Neurospora crassa OR74A: one gene and its partners. The protein of the gene in region 2 purifies or fractionates together with the protein of the main gene of each other region. This does not show direct contact. Links are inferred from orthologs where the notes say so. Each region holds a gene or a part of one and is shown on either strand. Other genes may lie near its edges.

Region 1 (3,933 bases), on a different chromosome or scaffold from region 2:
CCATTTCCTGCAAAGTATACTCAACAAGGTAACTTTCATCCACCAGCTCTTCTATGCGCTTATAGTGCCTCTCAGTATACACCCTCAACGCGTTGAGCACCTCCTTCAGACTCTTCTGTCCCCTTGCGCCCTTGACCGACAGGTTGGAGAACTTGTTGGCAGGGTAGAGTCGGACGAGCGCCCAGAGGATGCGCTGCGCCACGGGCGCCGTGCGCGCATTGGTGTTCCAGTCGCGCAGCCTCAGCAGGAGCAGGAAAATCTGCTCGTCGGAGAGGTTACCAAGCACCTGATCGACGGCCTTGATACCGCAGAGAGAGCCCTCTTCGGGGGCGTTGGTAGTGACCACGTTAGTGAAGATACCCAGGAGACGACCGGGGTGGTTGAGCTGCAGCGCCAGAATGATAGCGTCACGGTAGGCGCCGGCGTGGATGTAGTTCTCGAGCTGCTGCTCCTGCTCGACGAGCTTGAGGGCGGCCGAGGACGCGGCGGCATGGGTCTCAGCCGAAGTGTCCTTCCAGAAGGTTACGCGGGAGTCGGAACCACCAGACACAAGCATATTGGTCTTGGGGTGCACCGTGAGCGTCCAGAGACGGTCTTCGTGGTTATCGAGCGTGCACTCGGTCTCACCAAGGTTGGCGTCCCAGACCTTGACGAGGGAGTCGGCGCCCGCAGAGGCGAACTGGATGCGCTGCTTGGCCTTGGAGGCGGCAGCAGCAGCCTCGTCTTCAGCGTCGTCAGCGGCCTTGGGAAGGCGCAGCCAAACAACCTTGAGGACGTTATGGGAGTGGCCCTCGAATGTGCGCAGACAGGTGTAGTCCGAGAGGTTCCAGAGCTTGATGGTCTTGTCACCAGAACCCGTCAAGATTACACCCTTACCGGAAACAGCAGTGCCGGTCTCGCCTTGAATGGCAGGCATGCCCTGAGGCGCGAACCGAACCGTCCAGACACCCCTGCGGTGACCCTTGAGGATACCTACGACTTCTAATGTTGCGGAATCCCAGATCTTGACCGTCTTGTCTTGTGATGCCGAGGCAAAAAGCTTTCCGTTGGGGCTGATGTCGAGAGCGTTGATATCCTTCTCGTGGGCTAAGCGACGGAGACTGGTTGAGACGGCTCCCTTTTGTGATGTTCGGGGAATGTCACGCTTCTGAACGAACCGATCCTGGGAACCGGAAATGAGGAATGCGGGCGGGTGGTCGAGGGGGTTCTTGAACGCCTCCGAGTTCTCGGGAGGTACGATCTTGGGGAGTGCGACAGCGCCGACAGACTCGATGTGGCCAGTGAAGACTGCATAGCACTCGAACGAGTTATTGGCTGGGTCAACCCTCCAGAGGCGAGCTGTGTTATCCTTGGCACCACTAGCAACCCAGTGGCCAGACCAGTCTACATCGAGAGACATGACAATATCCTCGTGTCCCTTGAGTAGAGCTACGTCATGGCCAAAGTATGCCGCGCCCTCCTCCTCGTCGCCCAGCTGGGGCTGCTTATCCGCCACGGATACAAGTCTGATATCTTCGGAGTTGGTTGCAAGAGCCATGAGAGACTGATCGGGCAAAAGGTAAACAAGGTCGAGAATTTCGTCGTGTGTTCCCGAGATGCGCCTGAAGGGTTCCAGAGGCTTCGTCGACTTCTTGGTGGCATCGGCGACCGAAGGTGTGCGGTAGAGGGCGAGGGTGAAGTCAGACTGGGCGCAAACAACAAGGTTCTTGTGGGGAAGAGCAAGGGCTGACACTATCGACTCGGCTTCCGACTTGGCGTCTTGCTTTGCTGTGATTTCTTGGTGTGTGGTTGTGTCCCATAGCCTAAGTAGGCCACTTGTTCCAGCCGAATACATCAAGCTTCCGTTGTTGAGGAAGCCGACAGCTTCAACGCCTTCATGGCGCAACATGGGTGTTCCCCTCCATGTCCCCTCCTTCCACAGCCATACTGTCATTGTCTTATCTCTGCTACCGCTGAGAAGGGCATGTAGTTCTGGTGAGTAGTCAAGGCTTTGTACGTTGGACTCGTGCGCTTCTCTCCTCGAAGTCGGGTCGGCGTAAACGGGGTAGGTCTTGCGTTTGCTGAGGTCAAAGATGCGGATCTTGCCGTCCTGTGTGCCGTAGGCAAGACGGAACTTTGAAGCGACGCTGTCATCCTGAGCTTGCTCCTCCTCGGCTGTGCTCTTTCGCCTGTTCTTCTTGTTCTTGTTGCTGGCTTGGTCCTCGAGAGCGGCAATCTCGAAGAAGTGGAGGGCAGAAATAAGGACACTCGGGCCGCTAACGGTATGGGTAACGTATCCTCCGACAATGTCCCAGATCTTGATGGCGCCGTCGGCAGCACCGGTGGCAAGAAGGGTGCTAGTTCGGTCGACCGCGAGAACCACGACGGGGGTGGCGTGGGGCTTCGTGGTGCGTACAAGGGTGGCTTCGATGGAATCGTAATCTGGTGAGACCTTGAGGGAGTATATGCGCATAGTAAGAGAACGAGAGCAGACAATCAGGTGGGAGGCCGAAGGGGTGATGGTGAGGGTCGAGATGGGCTCTCCGTCGCCCTCGATCTCGGCGAGCTGCTTGCCGGTGTTGAGCTCTGTGAGGACGGCCTGCTCGCCGAGGGTGGTCGCGAGGATCCTAGCGCCATTGTCGAGGGCTACGGAACCTCCTGTGAAAATGGGCTGGATGACATTGTTGACCTCGAAGGTCGTCTTGGTGGTGGTTTGCCTGTACGCCATTGTGGTGACGGAGTGTCTGGCTGTACAAGTGGATTAAATCAAACAGAGAGGCAAGGAGGGTTGCGATTGCGCGCCGCCGCCTTTGGGGTTCTGCTGTTAGAACGTCAAGTGTAGGGTGGTACACTGCAAAGTCCCCAATCCCAAAAACTTTTCGCGGGTCGCTGCCTGCCGCCCGCTGATAAGGCCAGGCAATAAGGTTATCTTAGCGCCATGCAGATCCAACCCCTGTAGGAATCCGTGACGAACCACGCTGGAGCACTGGAGCAACTGGAGCATGACCCTCCCTCGGCTTTCTGTGCTCCCCAATCGCCCCCACCAACGTCAACTGTCTGTTCCAGTCTCCATCACTCATCAGCTATACCACCACTATCTTCACCATAACACAATCTCTGGCACAGGACCTAGTTTGTTACACGAGGATGGCCACTGACTGGTCAAATTTCACCGTGTAATGTACACATAAACATCTTGGCAATGCCGGATAGTAATCTACAAACACCTCCTGAATCCAGTTGACCCTTTCACGATGCGGTTGGGCCCACTGACATCACAGGCCCTTGTAAGTCATCGTTGCAAGACTTTCGGGCTACAACTTCGTTCTGACACTAAGGACAGGGCCGGTCTCCCTACGATGAGGTAGTTGAGGGCACTGGCGAGCCCCAACCCGGGGCCCCAGAGCAGTTGTATGATGACCGAGGACGACCAGTGAATCCAGAGACACGGCGCATCAACAGAGACATCATCCGCTCTCACAACGAGGTTATGCTGGTCATCGGCGTTGCCGAACCGGACAGTGGCATCAACGAGGCCCAAGCTCTATACGAAGCCGCCACCAAGCACCAGTACTACGAAGATGGAATTGGGAGGAAGCTGTTCCTCACCGGCGAGGTCTTGGCCACCGTCGGAGTCTGGGGAGTCAACGGCTTGAGGCAGCGTATCTTGCTGTACAAGGACTACGCCCATGTTCCCTTTTCTCGTCTATTTCACTTTCACAGGCGCCAGCAGTCATGGGGAGAGTACCTCTGGGCCGGGCTGCCATCGTATGTCCTGAGCGATAGTTTTGCTGGATTCGACATGCCAGAATACCCATGGGTCAAGTACGTGTTCTCCTGGGTCAACTTACACCTAGAGATCTTCGTCTTCATGCAACGAACCGGCCTTGTGAACACCTCGAGATGGGTTCCCACCCTTGGTTTCTTCATTCCAGGCTGCAATGACTCCCCAAT
Region 2 (6,538 bases):
GAGATGTGGATTGTCTTTGAAAGTTTACAAAGTTCAGACTGGGCAAAATACATACTGATCAAGCATCCGCCCGGGACCTGAGTACCTGGGAAATACTTTCTCGCCGATTTCGCTGGTTAGGGGTTTTCGGGGTCCAGTGATATTGTTATACGATAACGTGCGGCGGTTGTTAGTTGTTTAGGTCGCTTATATATTGTTCGTAAGTCGTAACTAACTATGTAGTTAGTCGTTGGGCCAGCGCTGGAGGTACAGTATGGGTGGCACGAGGGGGGGAAGTGATTGAAGAACGGCATTGTTTGAATTATAGCCGCGGGACGGACACGCCGACCGAAGGGCAACTCCATACTGCTGTGTTTCCTTGTCTTCAGTCATTTTCTTGTTATTTGTTGTTTGCTTTTTCTTTTCTTTTTCTTCAGATGAGGCTCCGCCATCAATAGCGATAACCGGAATTACATAGTTTCGTTGAAGTGTTGAAAGTTCCAGGTAGGGATGAGTACCATGATGAAATTGGTGGGTTGGGTAAACATCACATGTAAACAACATCAGGAGTAGATAATGTACGTACTGAGGGTTGGCAAATGATGAAATGATCTTAAAACTCCTACTAGTAGATGATATGATAGACATGGTATCTCCAACCCATGATCCAAATATTGCACTTGCACTGAACGCTGATGATGATGTATACATGACAGCAACAACAACGGCACTAACAACAACACGGCCAACCACAAACTTACTCCGACTGCTACCCCCGAACCTTCTAAGAAGTAGCCATTTACCTCTTGTTCTTCTTGAGCCTCGCCGCCTTCTCCCTTGCGTACTCGTTCGCCGCCTGGCCTTCCGATCCCTGGATCTCCGCCACCAAGCGCTTGTACTTCTTCTCGTACGCCTCGTCCTTGGCCTTCTTGACCTTGAGGTTCTCGCGCTGCATGAAGGCCGCGTCCTTGCGGAGCTCCCTGAGTGCGCCCTTGCGCTCCTTCTTGTGTTCGGCCCGCAGCTTGGCCAGCTCGGCGCGCTCGCGGTCTGGGTCGTAGTGCTTGTTGGGGTCAAACGAATCCTCAAACTTGGGCACGTACGTCTTAATGGCGAGCGGCTTGTGGTGGTGCAGCTCGAGTGGCCTGCGGGAAACCTGGGCGAGCTGGAGGAGGCGGGAGATGCTTGTCGTTGCGTCCTTAAGCTGCTTGACGAGGGCTGCAGGGAGCTGGGCGGCGTTGGACTTGGTTGTCAGGTGTTGGAGCACGCGCTGGGCGGGCTGGAAGGTCTCGTAGAATGCGGGGAGTTTGCACCATGTTTCGGAAGCAGTCCTGAGAACGGAGGTGATGGTGCTGATAATGGCAACCTTCAGAGCGGAGTCGTCGCTGGTGGAGCGAGCGCTCTTGGGCTGCTGGCAGTCACCGCAGTTGAGCTTCCTGACGGTCACCTTGCTTGCACCCTTGACACGGATGCCAGCAGCGGGCTCGTGAACGGGGAACAGACCAAGCTTTTCCTTGGGCTTCTCAGCAGCGAGCGAGCAGAGAGTGTTGAGGCAGAAGTTGACAAATTCTGGTACGTAACGCTTGGAGAAGGATTGGTACTGAAGGGCGAGGATCGAAAGGTAAGCACCAATGGAGTAGTCGGCGAGTGTCTGGGGAATTTTCTGTCCCAAATAACGGGTGATGGAAAGCATCGCAGGGGTGACCACCTGATGGAAGTGATCAGAAGTAGGGTAGGTTGTGCCAATCGCTGTCAGAAGCATAAGGTCGCCGACGCTAAGGGCAAGGGGCCGATCCTCCTTAATCTCCTCAAGCCGTGACCTGTAAGCCTTGGATATCTCGATCGGGAAGGTCTTCGCGAGTGAGTGGACGTGGCGGATCAAGTTCTCAATGGTAGGGAACCAGGTGGGCTCGAAGTTGTCGCCAAGGTAAGCGATATGCTCGATGAGGGCCCGGGAGAAGTTTCCAAGGCGCTCCTTGTTCTTCGCGTCCAGCTTGGGGTGGTAAAGAGCTCTGATCCTCTGGACAGCCACTGGAAGTTTGGCCACGGGAAGGCTGCCCAAGATCTCCAGCAGCTGCTCGTGACTCTCGGGACATGTAAAGGTATAGGGTATGCCGTCCTCGTCGCCGCCTTTTGACTGAGCTTGAAGTTTTGTGGCCACCTCCTTCGACTCGCCGTCCTCACCACCATTCACAAGCTCGTCCTCATCAGGATCATAGGCATCCTCGTCATCACTCCCGTCCATGTCCGACATGTCGTCCTCGTCCATATCCAACTCAGAGCCGCTTGCGATAAGGTCGTCTTCGAGCAAGAAATCGTCTTCGTCGTCCAGACCCATCTCGGTGGCGGTCATTCGTAGCTTGATACCCTTGCCGAGGCCGAATTCGTCCTCGTCGGCCTCGTCTTGTACCTCTTGGTCGTCTCCCTTCTTCCTGCCCTTCTTCTGCTCCTCCTCCTCCTCCTCCTCGTCATCCGAGACGATCTCACCCCGCATGCGCCTGAGTCGCTTTTCCTCCATCTCTTTGAGACGCTTAACTCCTTCCTCCGCCTTCTCCTCGTCGGTCTTTGTCCTGTCGGTAACCTCGGCCCTGGCTTCACGCGCTGCCTGCTTGAGACGCATGTTGTATTCCTTCTCAAGTTGGTCCATGTCGATTCCTGCCATAACGGAGGGGCCCTTGGGGTCCTTCGTTTCCTTCGGTCTCATCTGGAAGAGTAGGGACTGCAATTCTGGGAGTTCCTTGTCAAGTTCCACTCTTAGATCGTCGTCCTCCTCCTTGGCTGCTTGTCGTTCCTGTAGCAATTACTGTTAGCTGATGAGTGGAAGTAGCCGGCTTAGCGGTGCCCCTTACGTATTTGAAGGCCTTTGACTTGGCGATAACCTCCTCCATAACTTCCTTCTTCGTCTTCTTCCTCTCCGGTTGTCCATCCTCTCCTTCACCTTCCGCGGCCTCTTCCTCAGCGCGCAGGCGCTTGAGGAACTTCTTTCTGGCTGACCGCTCATCGTCGGATTCCATATCGGAAACGTCCTCGTCAAAATCGTCACGACCCGCCTCAATGTCGTCGTCGTCAAAGAGAGTCTTGCCAGCGTGTGTAAGGGTGACCTGTTCTTGCTCGTCATCGGAACCCTCCAAATCGAAGACGGTGTTCTTCTTGTGGCTCTTCATCTGCTCGCGCGCGAAACGTTCCATCATCTTGTCCTCCAGGGTCATGTTGGGGTCGTCCTCGCCAAAACGCCTATCGACAATGCCGCCGACCTTGTTGCGCCTCTGCATTTCAACCAGTAGAGTTTCCCGTCGCTGTTTATGGCACAGTTAGCATCAGAACCAGTAAATCGATCTGAGTGGGATCGACAAACCCTCTGCTCAGCGGTGGCCTTCGCAACGCCGGGGCGGCCCTGAATGCCCTTGGCGAGTTTATCATTTTGGGGCTTGTTGGTGGTGACCTCGAACTTGGGTCCTCTGGCGTTGGTCTTGAACTGGAAGGGGTTGAACTGCTCTCTGATGCTGGCGAGAGCTTCGTGGCGCTGGAGTCGCTTGTCGGTGGAAGCCTTCGCGTCCTGGGCGTTTTGGCGCTTTTGCTTCTTGGATCTCTGGGGACCGATGATGCCTTGGTCCTTGAGGGAGGCCTTCAGCCTCTTGAGCTGAGACCCGGCCATGTTTGTTGAGATGTCTCGACTGTCGACTTGACAGGGGAGTATTGAGAAAGAAAGAGGGAGGGAGGGCGTCGCGAAGCGGGTTCGATCGCAAGACCAGCAATCAATAGGTTGTCTTTGGCGGTTGGTTCCTTCTCAGAAATTTTGGTGATGAAGGGTGCTTATCTTATCGTCATGCTCCACCTCTAAAATCTTGGCAGTTACCTACCTACATACAAGTAGTATTGTCCACAGGCGCGGGCAGCAGAAGCATCCTGGCCTGCCCGTGCTGCACTGTAGCTGCTAAAAGACGAAGCTCTACGGGCGATGCTATCCAGGTCCCAAAAACTTACCCTTTTAAGGAAGTGCACAGACTTCTTTTGTTCTCAAGACATGTCACTCGACCAAATGTGCTCTGCAACCCAGGATGCAGCATTTCACCCAAAAAGCCCCCTTTTGGGCCAGCTGAGTTGCGAAAAGGAGTTTCCCAGCAGTATTTGACTTGCAAAGATAAAAGAATTCCCAATTTTCTTGGTGGAGGATCCAAAAAGTTGAATGTATTGTTAAGTACAAAGGTCTTGGGATACATGCTTGACTAAATGCTTAGGGTGGGAAATTTGGGACCTGGATAGACTGTCCCGCTCTACAGCGGGTGTCACTCCACTGACCAGAAGTGAAGCTCTCCATCGTCATCCTCGGGCTGCTCATGGTTTTTTTATTTTTTTATTTTTGGTTTTTTTCAGTGTTCCGTCTCAATCTCAAAGTCGCGATGTGATGAAAAGAAAAAGAAAACAACACATAAAAGTCAAACTACCTATGCTGAAGCATCATCTTTCATCACCATACCGTTATTATGGGCTGGCAATCGTCGGTTCTCCGAGATGAGAGGGTCGTCTTCACCGGCATTGGCTTCGTCACGGCGAGCTTGATCATCTTCGCCATGAACACCTGGCTAACAAGATGGCGAGACGAGACCATTGTCACCCCCAATCCGCCAAAGACGCAGTACATCACGCAGCAGACCGAGGACTCGCTCGAGCTCAAGACGCTGGACACCTTGCTGGGCCACTACAACTACGCCATCAAGGAGACGGCTGCCAAGATAATCTGTGATAGGGCTGCAAATGACCCCGGCCTCCTGGAGACGTTGCTCTGGGGCATCACCCGTCCAGATTATGACGAGCGTGTCAAGAACTTGAGGGCTCTGGCTGTCATCTGCGTCCCTCGTGAGTATCTCAACACTGCTTGAAAGTTTCCAACTCACTAACACGGCTTCAAGGAGTTCTCCCCATGCTTCACACTTGGAAAGCATACTCCGCCATAGTCCGGTGCCTCGAGCTCTCCCTCGACCCGGAGCAGGAGGTTCTCGAGAATGATGGATGGGACGATTATCCATTGAGGGATATCACCGAAAAAATGTGCTTCATCTTTCTTGAGCAGCTGGTCGATCATTACGGGCCAGAGATGCTGATCCGCTCCAAGTTCGTTGAGCGTTGGCTATCCAGGCAAAATTGGGGCAGGACTGAGGAAGACAGACAGCGCAACTTCCACAACTATATGCTGTACAGGGACAACAAGATCAAGAGGCTTGCGGATGCGGTGCGCAAAACTGGATCGGGAAGGTCGGTGCTGGTCAGATGTGGTCTCATGTCCCAAGAGGGGGCTGACGACTTCGCGGCTGAGCAGGCCGATAACCTGAACCTCATGGACACAAGCGGCGAGCGCTATAACCTCCTGCTCTCTATTAACATGGGTAGGACCCCGCGGGCGCAGGAGACGAGCGCCGAGGAGCAGCGGATTAGACATCGGAATCGCGAGGCTATTGTGGTGAACGATGGGACTAGGCCGATTGGCAGGGACGATATTATTCACCGTGACACGGAATGGCGGGTTTTGGGAGAGCCTGGTCAGTCTTAGAGGAGCGGCTCAGTAACTACTACAGGAATTGTTACCATCGCTTTGTGCTTTGTTCTGTGTTAGGAATACGGGGACGCATAAGGAAGATCAAAATGAGAATAAGAAAGATTGAGTTTGGTTGAGTAGCAATTGTATTAATCATCCAGAATGACCTTTGTTTTGGCGGATATGAAGGTGTTTGCTCTCTTACAAAACGAATAATACACGGTTAGATGCATCGTTGGGTTCAATCGTTAACAGTTCGCGAGCAACTCCACCAAAATCACTAACAAGAAAGGAACAATACGTCAAGACAACAAACCACTGCAATATGCTCACATGAATTTTGCGATTCAATTGAACCAAACCGCAACCTGAACTGTGGGCTTTGCGCCTTTTCCAACGATCACACGTCTAGCATAATACACCATCACCCGCCAAACGACGCACAGAGTCACTGTAACCGAACGGCGGCGCGGCCTTCTGTCATTTCCACAGTCCCTTCTCCCGGCCCCGCTCGTGTCCGGATTTCAAGAGCCTCACCACTCTTTCCATCCACCCACTCACCAGCATGGCTCCCTCACAGACAGTCGACATCCCCTCCTTCGCCTCCACCCAACTCACCCTCCTCTCCTCCGAGCTCGCCGCCGAAATCGCTGAGAACTCCGAGCTCATCGGGCTGCACACGCCCACCGCCCTGCAGCGCGCCGGCCTGGCCCTGACCAACCTAGTCGTCAATGCCCAGCGGACCGGCTATGGCGGAAAGACCGTGTTGGAACTCGGGCCCGATTCTGCTACTGTTACTATCACTTCTTCTTCTTCTTCTTCATCGTCAGGCCAGAAGGGTGGGGGCTATGATGGACCGGAATTACCAGAACATGGAATTCGGACGGGCGATATCGTGGTAGTGTCTGAGCAGCCGGCTGGGAGCGCAAAGAAGCGAGAGGTCAGGGAATTGGAGAAGAAGGGCGCGAAGGGGGTGGTGACGAGGGTGGGCAGGGGTGTGGTGGGTGTGGCGCTGGATGAGGATAAGGG
Region 3 (3,701 bases), on a different chromosome or scaffold from region 2:
GATATTGCGGATGAATAAGGGGAAGAAGGCCCGGAGATCGAGTCGAAGCCAGCTTGACTTTCACGGCGGTTGAAGGCGGCGTCGGTGCCAATTGACCCACTCGTGGTGGATGCGAGCGAGACCGTGGGCCCGTGACCGGGATTGCCAACTTCGGGATCGAGACTGCGCAGGCGGAGGGAGGTGCGGGTGTGTGGTGGTCGAGGTCAACGTCCCAGAAATGACGTCTGTGCTTATGATGAATTCGATTTGTTTCTTTTCCTTTTCTCTTCTTCTCAAGGATAGACAACGACAATTGCCGTCGATCTTGGCAAAGGTCACAAGAAGCAGCGATACCTGAAGGTCTTGGGGTTCGGGATAAAGACCGACGCCAGGGATACGAAGGGGAAATCGAAGGGAGTAGTGTAGAATGTCGCGGGGCCGAAGAAGAAAAAGAAGGGGAAGATGTTGCAGGGACGGAAGGAGTTCTGATTCTTGGCGACACAAAACCGAACCTACCCCTTTCTGACGGAAAACGTTGATGGATTTCGAAACCTCGTGCACGGAATGCTGTAATCCGTGGCGTACCACAGTGCAGATTGTGCTTGCCCGATCATGATGACCACAGCGCGCCAGGGTCGTCAGATCTTTGCAGGTTCTCATTGGGCGAACCTGGGATGATTTCTTGGTTCTTCAGCTGGAAAACCAACGACGAACGTTATCCAGCCTTACCGCGACTTTATCACGGCGAACCTGAAAATTGCTGCTGTTAAGTTCGTCAACTTTGACTCGGGCGGGATTCGATGCTTCACCATCAATTACTTCAGCGTATCTTGAACACCTTGGTGAGATTTTACCGACGGTACAGGTGTCAACAATGGCCCTGCTGGGAGTATACAAATCACGTTGAGACCCCAGCAAGTCAAAACGCTCTTGTCGCCAATCCCACCATGGCATATCAAGACCTTTTGATGTCGCCAGCACGTGTGATTTCTTGTTGATGTTCCGTGCCGTGCCGTGCAAGCCCCTGTCATGATAAGCTAGTATGTAGATAAGATAACATCTACAACCTGGGGGGAAAAAACAGCTGAAAGGAGCAGATGGCCAAGAGTACTTGGATAGACTCGTTGCGAAGTACAGCAGGACAGTAATGACAGAACCAAACTTCCACCTCGCTGAGATTTGAAATAACTGAATCCGGTCGTTTTCTTATATTTGCTCCTTTTTTATGCTGTTGTCGTCCTCAATGAAAATACCAGGTTCCAAAAGTTACAACTTCCATGCAAGTGGAAGTTCCAGTTATCAGATAAGGAGCTGCCCCTGCATCTGCCAGCTGGCCGCTGATCCTGTCGCGCTTCTGCAGCCGGAACTCAACCTGCAAGAAGCGCCGCGCCCCCACTCTTACCAGCTGCGGCAGGCTTGTGTTCCAAAAATTTCCATCCGTGCAGCGCGATTCGGCTGGCCATCTTGCCATACAATCCCTTCAACAAGCCATTTATCAAATCCAACCACCAGACCCAAGTCGCTCGCCCTGATATCGTGACCTGTCGCACAACCTCAATCGAGACCTCTGATTATTCATAAACATCAACAGCCCACAAGAGCCCCGAGAAACACATTTACAGCCAAAATGCCGTCCACACACAAGAAGGAGAAGCCGTGGGATACAGACGACATCGACAAGTGGAAGGTCGACCCTTTCACCAAGGACGAATCCTCCGGCCCCTTCCTCGAGGAGTCTTCGTTTATGACCCTATTCCCCAAGTACCGCGAGCGTTATCTACGAGACTCGTGGCCACTCATCACCAAGGCCCTCGACAAGCACGGCATCACCGCAGTTCTCGATTTGGTGGAGGGTTCCATGACAGTGAAGACGACAAGAAAGGTACGGCGGATGCGTTTGTTGTCTTTATAGTCACCACTCTTTGCTAACTCACGTCCAGACATATGACCCCGCAGCTATTCTTAACGCCCGCGATCTCATCAAGTTGCTCGCCCGTTCAGTACCAGCCCCACAAGCGATCAAAATTCTCGAAGATGGCATGGCCTGCGACATCATCAAGATCCGCAGCATGGTACGGAACAAGGAGCGTTTTGTTAAGAGGCGCCAAAGAATTCTCGGACAGAACGGCACAACGCTCAAGGCTCTCGAGCTTCTCACACAAACATATATCCTCGTGCACGGAAACACAGTGTCGGTAATGGGTCCTTTCAAGGGTCTGAAGGAGGTGAGGAGGGTTGTTGAGGACACCATGAACAACGTTCACCCAATTTACATGATTAAGGAGTTGATGTAAGTTTTGCGCCTGCACGCCCACTTGCGACGCCCCACAACAACAATAACTGACATGAGAAAACAGGATCAAACGCGAACTCGCAAAGGACCCCGCTCTTGCCCACGAAGACTGGTCTCGTTACCTCCCCAACTTCAAGAAGCGCACGCTTTCCAAGCGCCGCGTCCCCCACGTCGTCAACGACAAGACCAAGAAGAACTATACACCCTTCCCCCCTGCGCCCGAGAAGAGCAAGGTGGATCTCCAGATCGAGTCCGGCGAATACTTTCTCGGCAAGGAGGCCAAGCAGCGGGTGGCGGAGCAGGAGCGCGCAGAGAAGGCCAAGCAGAAGAAGGAGGAGAAGAAGCGCGAGCGCGAGAAGGAGTATGTGCCGCCCGAGGAGTTGACGGACAAGAAGGCCAAGAAGAGGAAGACGAGCGACTAAGCTGGTACAAGTGGTGCAATCCAAAATATGGGGGCGGTGGAGGTGGAAATGGAGTTGAGGAAGACGATGATGAAGAGAAAGAGAAAGGATCCTGGAATCCCATGATACCCATACTTCAGCAGACGATTGAGATTTCTCCTGCTTCGGGATCCAAGGGTGATCTGGTTGCTAAATTTCACCAAAAGCCTTTGTCAAATGTGTTATCAAAAACAATGACTTGTCCAGAAAAGATGTCGGTTCTTGAATCTGTCGACATTTCGAAACCCAAGGCCGAAACAAAACCCGATGACGATCGCGAATAAAGCCCGATGTGGCAGACCCGCACCACAACCGGGCTGCTCCACCCCGGCGGATCGCAAACCAGGGGCATCACAAGGCGGGCCGAGGCAGTTGCATCATTGGAGCGGGATCCGGCAACGAATGCGGGGGAGAGTGGGGGCGGCCATTGGTCGGTGGCAGGGTTGGTGGGAGAGGCTCAATGACAGAGTGACAACACCCCTTTCCCCGGGTCCAATTGATAACAAATCTGGCCGATGTCGCAACTGATTTAAACTTGATGACCCTTTCCTTCTTTCACTTCTTGAACATACTTCAACACTCATCCAGTGGATTGGCCTCGGTAAAACACAACCCACACATAAACACAACGCCAAGATGCCTCTCCAACTCACTGTCAAGAAAATTGACGGTAAACCCGGCCAGGTTTACTACCCGTAAGTGTTTTGTTCTTCCTCTTCACATAACCTCACCTTTCTTCTCCCCCATACATATCCCCATCACCACCACCAACCAACTCACTCCCACCATCCTCCCCGCATGACTAACCCTCGGCCTCCCCATCTAGCCTCCAACTAAACACCATCCCCAAACCAACCCCCGGCCCCGGCGAGCTTCTCATCCGCCTCCGGTCCTGCGCCCTCAACCACCGCGACCTCTTCATCCGCCAACACCTCTACCCCGGCATCTCCTTCGAGCAACCTTTTCTCGCTGACGGCTACGGCGTCGTC
Region 4 (4,281 bases), on a different chromosome or scaffold from region 2:
GAACTCCTCAATAGAGGCGGTAGCCGCAGGAGCATCCGCGGGCATGTGAGGGACCTTGCTGTTATCGATCAAAGAGCCCTGAGCAGAAACCATCTTCTGGCCAAGGAGAACCAGAAGGTCGAAGGCGGTAGTGCGAGCCTTCTCGTTGTGCTCCTTGCAGCCAATGACAACCTCTGAAAGAATGGAGGGAATGAAGTGCAGGGAATCGTTGGGGATGAAGTGAATCAGAGCAGCAATGGCAGCCAGGCGCTCTCTCCGGGCAGGTGCCGACACCTTCTCAGAGCTGGACAGGAACAGGGTTTGGAGCTCGCCATGTCTCTCCTCGAGGGCGGCCTTGCCGATGGGGGAATCCGCCAAGCGAGGAATGAGCTTGTAAGCCTTCTTCTGCAGCTGAGGGTCATCATCCTTGAAGATGACCACTGAAGCGATCTTAAAAAGAGCCTCGAAGCTGGCACGGGGGAGGTAGATAGACATGGTAACGACCAGGTCCATGAGAGTGTGCGCGGCAGAAGGCATGTGATCGGCCTTCTGCTGTTGTTGGGGCTTCTTCTCAACAGCCTCTTGAAGAGCCTCGGCGAGCTTCTCGCACACCATGTCGAAAGTCTCGGTAAGACGCGCGGGAGGGATGATGCTGAGGTAGGCGTTGATGGTCTGGAGGACAGGGCCGCGCTTCTGGGGGAGAGTGGTGCTGTAGACGTTGAAGAGAACAGCGAGGAAATCAGCTGCAAAGGTGGCTCCGAGGTACTCCAAGTTCTTCTGCGCCTGCTCCTTGCTGACCCTGCCAAAGAGAATGAGGTCATCGACCTCATCGGAAGTGGCGATGGCCTGGTTGGACTCAACAACGGTCCTGAGGGCGCGACAAATATCCAAGCGCAGGTCAACCTGCTCATACAAAAGGTTGGTCAACATCTCAGCGAAGCCTGTGTCAAAGGCCTCGACAAGATCAAGTGGAAGGTCGCAGTAGCCGGGAAGAATCGACCAAATTTGCTGAACAACAGTCTCGAAAATCTTGATGTGAATGTTCTTCTCGCCCTGGTGCTCAATCACACGCTGGAACATGATAGCACTGAGAGGAACCAATTCGCTCTTGAAGTGTGCAAGATTGGTGTTGGAGGTGTAGTCACGGAGAAGAGGAAGCATCCAAGCTCTGCCAGGCTGACCCTTGACGGGCTTCGCGAGGTTCAGGGGAAGAACATTCAAGACCGCCTCAGGACCCATTGCACGAATCGCCTTGCCAAGGACCTCGTCGGCTTCCTGCTTTCCAGCGAAAGAATCGTTACCGCGGATTTCGCCGATGCTCTTGACGACGGAAAGGAGGTAAGGGTTAGCCTGCCACCGAAAGGCATCGAACATGGCACCAAGAACGTTGAAAGTCTCCATCCAGGCAGCTTGGTACTGGACGGTGAGAAGGCCCTCGACAACCTTGACTAGTTGCTGAATGACCTTCTCGTCAAAAATCGAAGGCTCAAGGATGGCCTCCTTGGGGACACAGTTGGCCAGGAAGGAGACCAAGCACTCGGACGCCGAAACGCGAATATTCTTGTGCTGGGACTCGAGGTATCCTGCAACCAGAGTGAAAGGATCGACCAGCTCTTGGAAGGTCTCGGCGGGCGAAATCTGACCGGCAACATCGTAGGCTCTCGACAGAATGGCGATCCAGGGAGGGAGAAGCTGGGTATCGTTGGGCGCGGGACGGAGCTCTCTGATGATCTCGAGCAGCCGAGGAAGCTTGGCGGAGGCAACCTCGTCGGCGGCCATGCCCTCGAACATCATCTCGAAGATCTCGAAGACAGCCATGCTCATGTGCTCGTTGCCCGTCCGGGCAATGCTGAGAAGGAGCTCGCACAAAGACTCAATGCTCTTGCTGGGCCAGCCACCGCTTCCAGAGGCGACAGCCTTGACGAGTTGCAAGGCGTGGATAAGCTCGGGATCGTGGGTAGAGTCGGTAGTCTTCTTTTCCTTCCTCTGGGCGGCGGCCTTGTCAGCGACAAGACGGAGGCTCTGCATGGCTGTCTCGGCGCACATGGGGGCGGCGGGGTGGTCGAGAGACGGGCTCGGCGGAGGGTTCTTCAGGATGTTCCTGAGCGCTTCCTGGGCTCTCTTGCGGACTTTGGGACGCGGGTCGAGGGCAAGGGCGAGGAGGCCGGCCACAGCCCGGCGGGGGCCAATCTGGGCGGTACCGAGCTCCCACTGTGTCGCATCTTGAGCAAGGAGCAAGCTCTCGAGAGAGCCGATCGAGGCCCTCATGAGGGGAGCATCGGCATCGGGGAGGGATAGTACTGGCGCGAGGATGGTGATGATCTGAGTGAACTTGGCCTGAAGAATAGGCTTTGGAGCGAAGGGAGTGACGACATCGAGGAGGTAGACGACGGGGGTCGCGAGGTTTTCGTTGTTGAGTAGACTGAGAAGGGCAGCGAAGTAGGCGGTAGGAGTCGCGGGTGTATTGCGCTCCTTGAAGGTGGCCTCGATAGCCTCGAGGACACTGGCAGTCTGTGGCTCAAGTCAGGGTCCATTGTCCACGATGGAGGCGGCCTTGCGACAGGCCACTGCAATGGCAGGCTGGAAGGAAGAGGGTAGGGATGCAGAAGACAAAAGATGGAAAAAGGAGAGATGCATCATGACTCTGGCTTACCTGCTTCTGGCTCTGGAGATTCGGAGACCGAATCTTGTCCAGTTTCTCCTGCAAAGACGGAGAAGAAGCCATCGTGAATGTGATGGAATGGCGCTGGAGTGGGACAATGCAAGCCGCTTCGCAGTGCTGAAATCGATGTCATGAAGAACAGAAAAGTTCGAAAAGTTGTCGCTTATCGGCGCGCACGCCCCACCCGCTGTCATTGATAAGGGTCTGGCGCTAGTCCGAAGCGGCTCCCAACTGTAACTCCAGGGTTAGCTATGGCATCTCATGCTTATAGAGGTACCTATGTTTCGCTTGGGCAGCCATCAAGGTTATGAGATACAACAATTCATGTTGGATCGTACGAACAACGCGTACCCACTAGGAACAAGTTTCTATTGCTTTAAGCCCATCTCTACCCCAGACAGCAGGTTTGTTTGGGTCTTCCGTAAATCACCAAAGCGTCGATGACCGTATTCATGATATGACAGTTCATCCCCCTCCCAACCAGAAAACGCCGGTACGATAACAAAGAAAAGAAAAAGGAAAGAAGGAAACCAGAAAGTGATAAATGGCTGTATATCACAAGTTCCTCCACCCTGTTTATGAAAACTCGTTGTCTGCCTCCTCAAAGTTGTTCTTGATCTGGAGAAGAACAGCCGCCTTCCAGTCATCGAGCCGGCTCATCTTATCGTACGCGGCAAGCTTATCCTGGAACATCTCGAGGTTGTTGTTTGAGGCTGCTTCCAACAAGTCAACCAGGAGTTGGTATTCGCGCTGGCCCGTAAATGATGGGTCCTTCTCGGCATACTTGGTGATGTTACGCTGAGCAGTGACCATATCCTTGGTCGCCAAGGAGCAGAGACCGGCCTTGAGGAAGTACTCCTTGACCGAGTACCTCATCAGGTTGTTGCCGAGTGAAGCCTCCGCAACCTTCTCGAACTTCTCTATAGCGGCGAAAAAGTCGCCCGCGAGGGCAGAGAGGTCGGCCACCTTGAGCCACAGCTTGTTCGCAAGACTACACACAGCTGGTTAGAACGACCTGTTGGACTCGTAACATGGCGCAAAAGCCGTGGGCATTAATCACTTACGCGACAGCACCGTCGTTCTCATACCACTCGGCCGCAGTTGTATAGGCCTTGATAGCCTCTGGCTTATTCTGCAGCTCGTTTTCGTAGACCTCAGCCTGGTTCTCCTTGTGCGACGCAGCTCTCCGGAAGTTCCCCGCCATGGTATACTGCTTGATGGCAACCTCGACGCAGCGCACAGCATTATCCGGGGCATCTTTCCTATAGACCTTGAAGGCGTCCAACATGGCATTCGCCGCATCGTTGGGCTCCTTCAACTTCTCAGTGAAGATCTTGGCAGCTTCCTCGAAACACTTGCCGGCCTCGGTGTCTGGGTAGTGGGCAGAACGTTAGGACTTGCCGCGAGGTTCATATGGCCCGAAAGCGCATCGTGGGTGTTGATGATTGTGATGACGTACTTGACTTCTGCAACCTGAAAGCGTTGGCCGCTTGTATGTACTGATCCGCCGCATTTTGGTACTTGTCTTCCTTGTTTCCGAACAGACCCCAGCCTTTGGACGCGCTCGCGAGGGTCTTCTCTGCCTGGTGTTCGCATTCGGCATCAGCAAGGTGTCGCGAAAGTGTCAGGAGGTGCCAGGA

Evidence for each region. The genes of interacting proteins can lie anywhere in the genome.
Region 1: the proteins of NCU07393 (region 2) and pod-5 purify together in Saccharomyces cerevisiae (affinity purification with mass spectrometry; 3 studies listed by BioGRID). This does not show direct contact. The link is inferred for Neurospora crassa OR74A from reciprocal best matches to the Saccharomyces cerevisiae genes NOP14 and UTP13.
Region 3: the proteins of NCU07393 (region 2) and NCU07041 purify together in Saccharomyces cerevisiae (affinity purification with mass spectrometry; 6 studies listed by BioGRID). This does not show direct contact. The link is inferred for Neurospora crassa OR74A from reciprocal best matches to the Saccharomyces cerevisiae genes NOP14 and KRR1.
Region 4: the proteins of NCU07393 (region 2) and NCU01675 purify together in Saccharomyces cerevisiae (affinity purification with mass spectrometry; 3 studies listed by BioGRID). This does not show direct contact. The link is inferred for Neurospora crassa OR74A from reciprocal best matches to the Saccharomyces cerevisiae genes NOP14 and RRP12.

The regions. Positions count from the first base shown.
Region 1 is NC_026505.1:1,894,939-1,898,871, reverse strand, and holds the start of pod-5 (polarity defective-5), read right to left. Parts: upstream 2,801-3,933; 5' UTR 2,708-2,800; coding exon 1-2,707. Other genes in the region: NCU03627 (hypothetical protein), read left to right, coding at 3,234-3,266, 3,323-3,933. UniProt on the Saccharomyces cerevisiae protein: Involved in nucleolar processing of pre-18S ribosomal RNA.
Region 2 is NC_026501.1:6,084,892-6,091,429, reverse strand, and holds the start of NCU07393 (rRNA maturation protein), read right to left. Parts: upstream 3,735-6,538; 5' UTR 3,632-3,734; coding exon 3,332-3,631; intron 3,273-3,331; coding exon 2,826-3,272; intron 2,768-2,825; coding exon 779-2,767; 3' UTR 1-778. Other genes in the region: NCU07394 (hypothetical protein), read left to right, coding at 4,461-4,833, 4,887-5,524; NCU07395 (DNA-binding protein SMUBP-2), read left to right, coding at 6,075-6,538. UniProt on the Saccharomyces cerevisiae protein: Involved in nucleolar processing of pre-18S ribosomal RNA. Has a role in the nuclear export of 40S pre-ribosomal subunit to the cytoplasm.
Region 3 is NC_026504.1:4,998,493-5,002,193, forward strand, and holds NCU07041 (90S preribosome/SSU processome component KRR1), read left to right. Parts: upstream 1-1,427; 5' UTR 1,428-1,606; coding exon 1,607-1,861; intron 1,862-1,919; coding exon 1,920-2,269; intron 2,270-2,336; coding exon 2,337-2,694; 3' UTR 2,695-3,201; downstream 3,202-3,701. Other genes in the region: NCU07042 (alcohol dehydrogenase), read left to right, coding at 3,349-3,407, 3,539-3,701. UniProt on the Saccharomyces cerevisiae protein: Required for 40S ribosome biogenesis. Involved in nucleolar processing of pre-18S ribosomal RNA and ribosome assembly. Essential for vegetative growth.
Region 4 is NC_026502.1:2,739,631-2,743,911, forward strand, and holds the start of NCU01675 (90S preribosome component RRP12), read right to left. Parts: upstream 2,801-4,281; 5' UTR 2,705-2,800; coding exon 2,633-2,704; intron 2,491-2,632; coding exon 1-2,490. Other genes in the region: NCU01674 (alpha-soluble NSF attachment protein), read right to left, coding at 3,218-3,632, 3,706-4,012, 4,101-4,224. UniProt on the Saccharomyces cerevisiae protein: In association with GSP1, required for nuclear export of both pre-40S and pre-60S ribosomal subunits. Required for the late maturation of the 18S and 5.8S rRNA of the pre-40S ribosomes and for maturation of the 25S and 5.8S rRNA of the pre-60S ribosomes.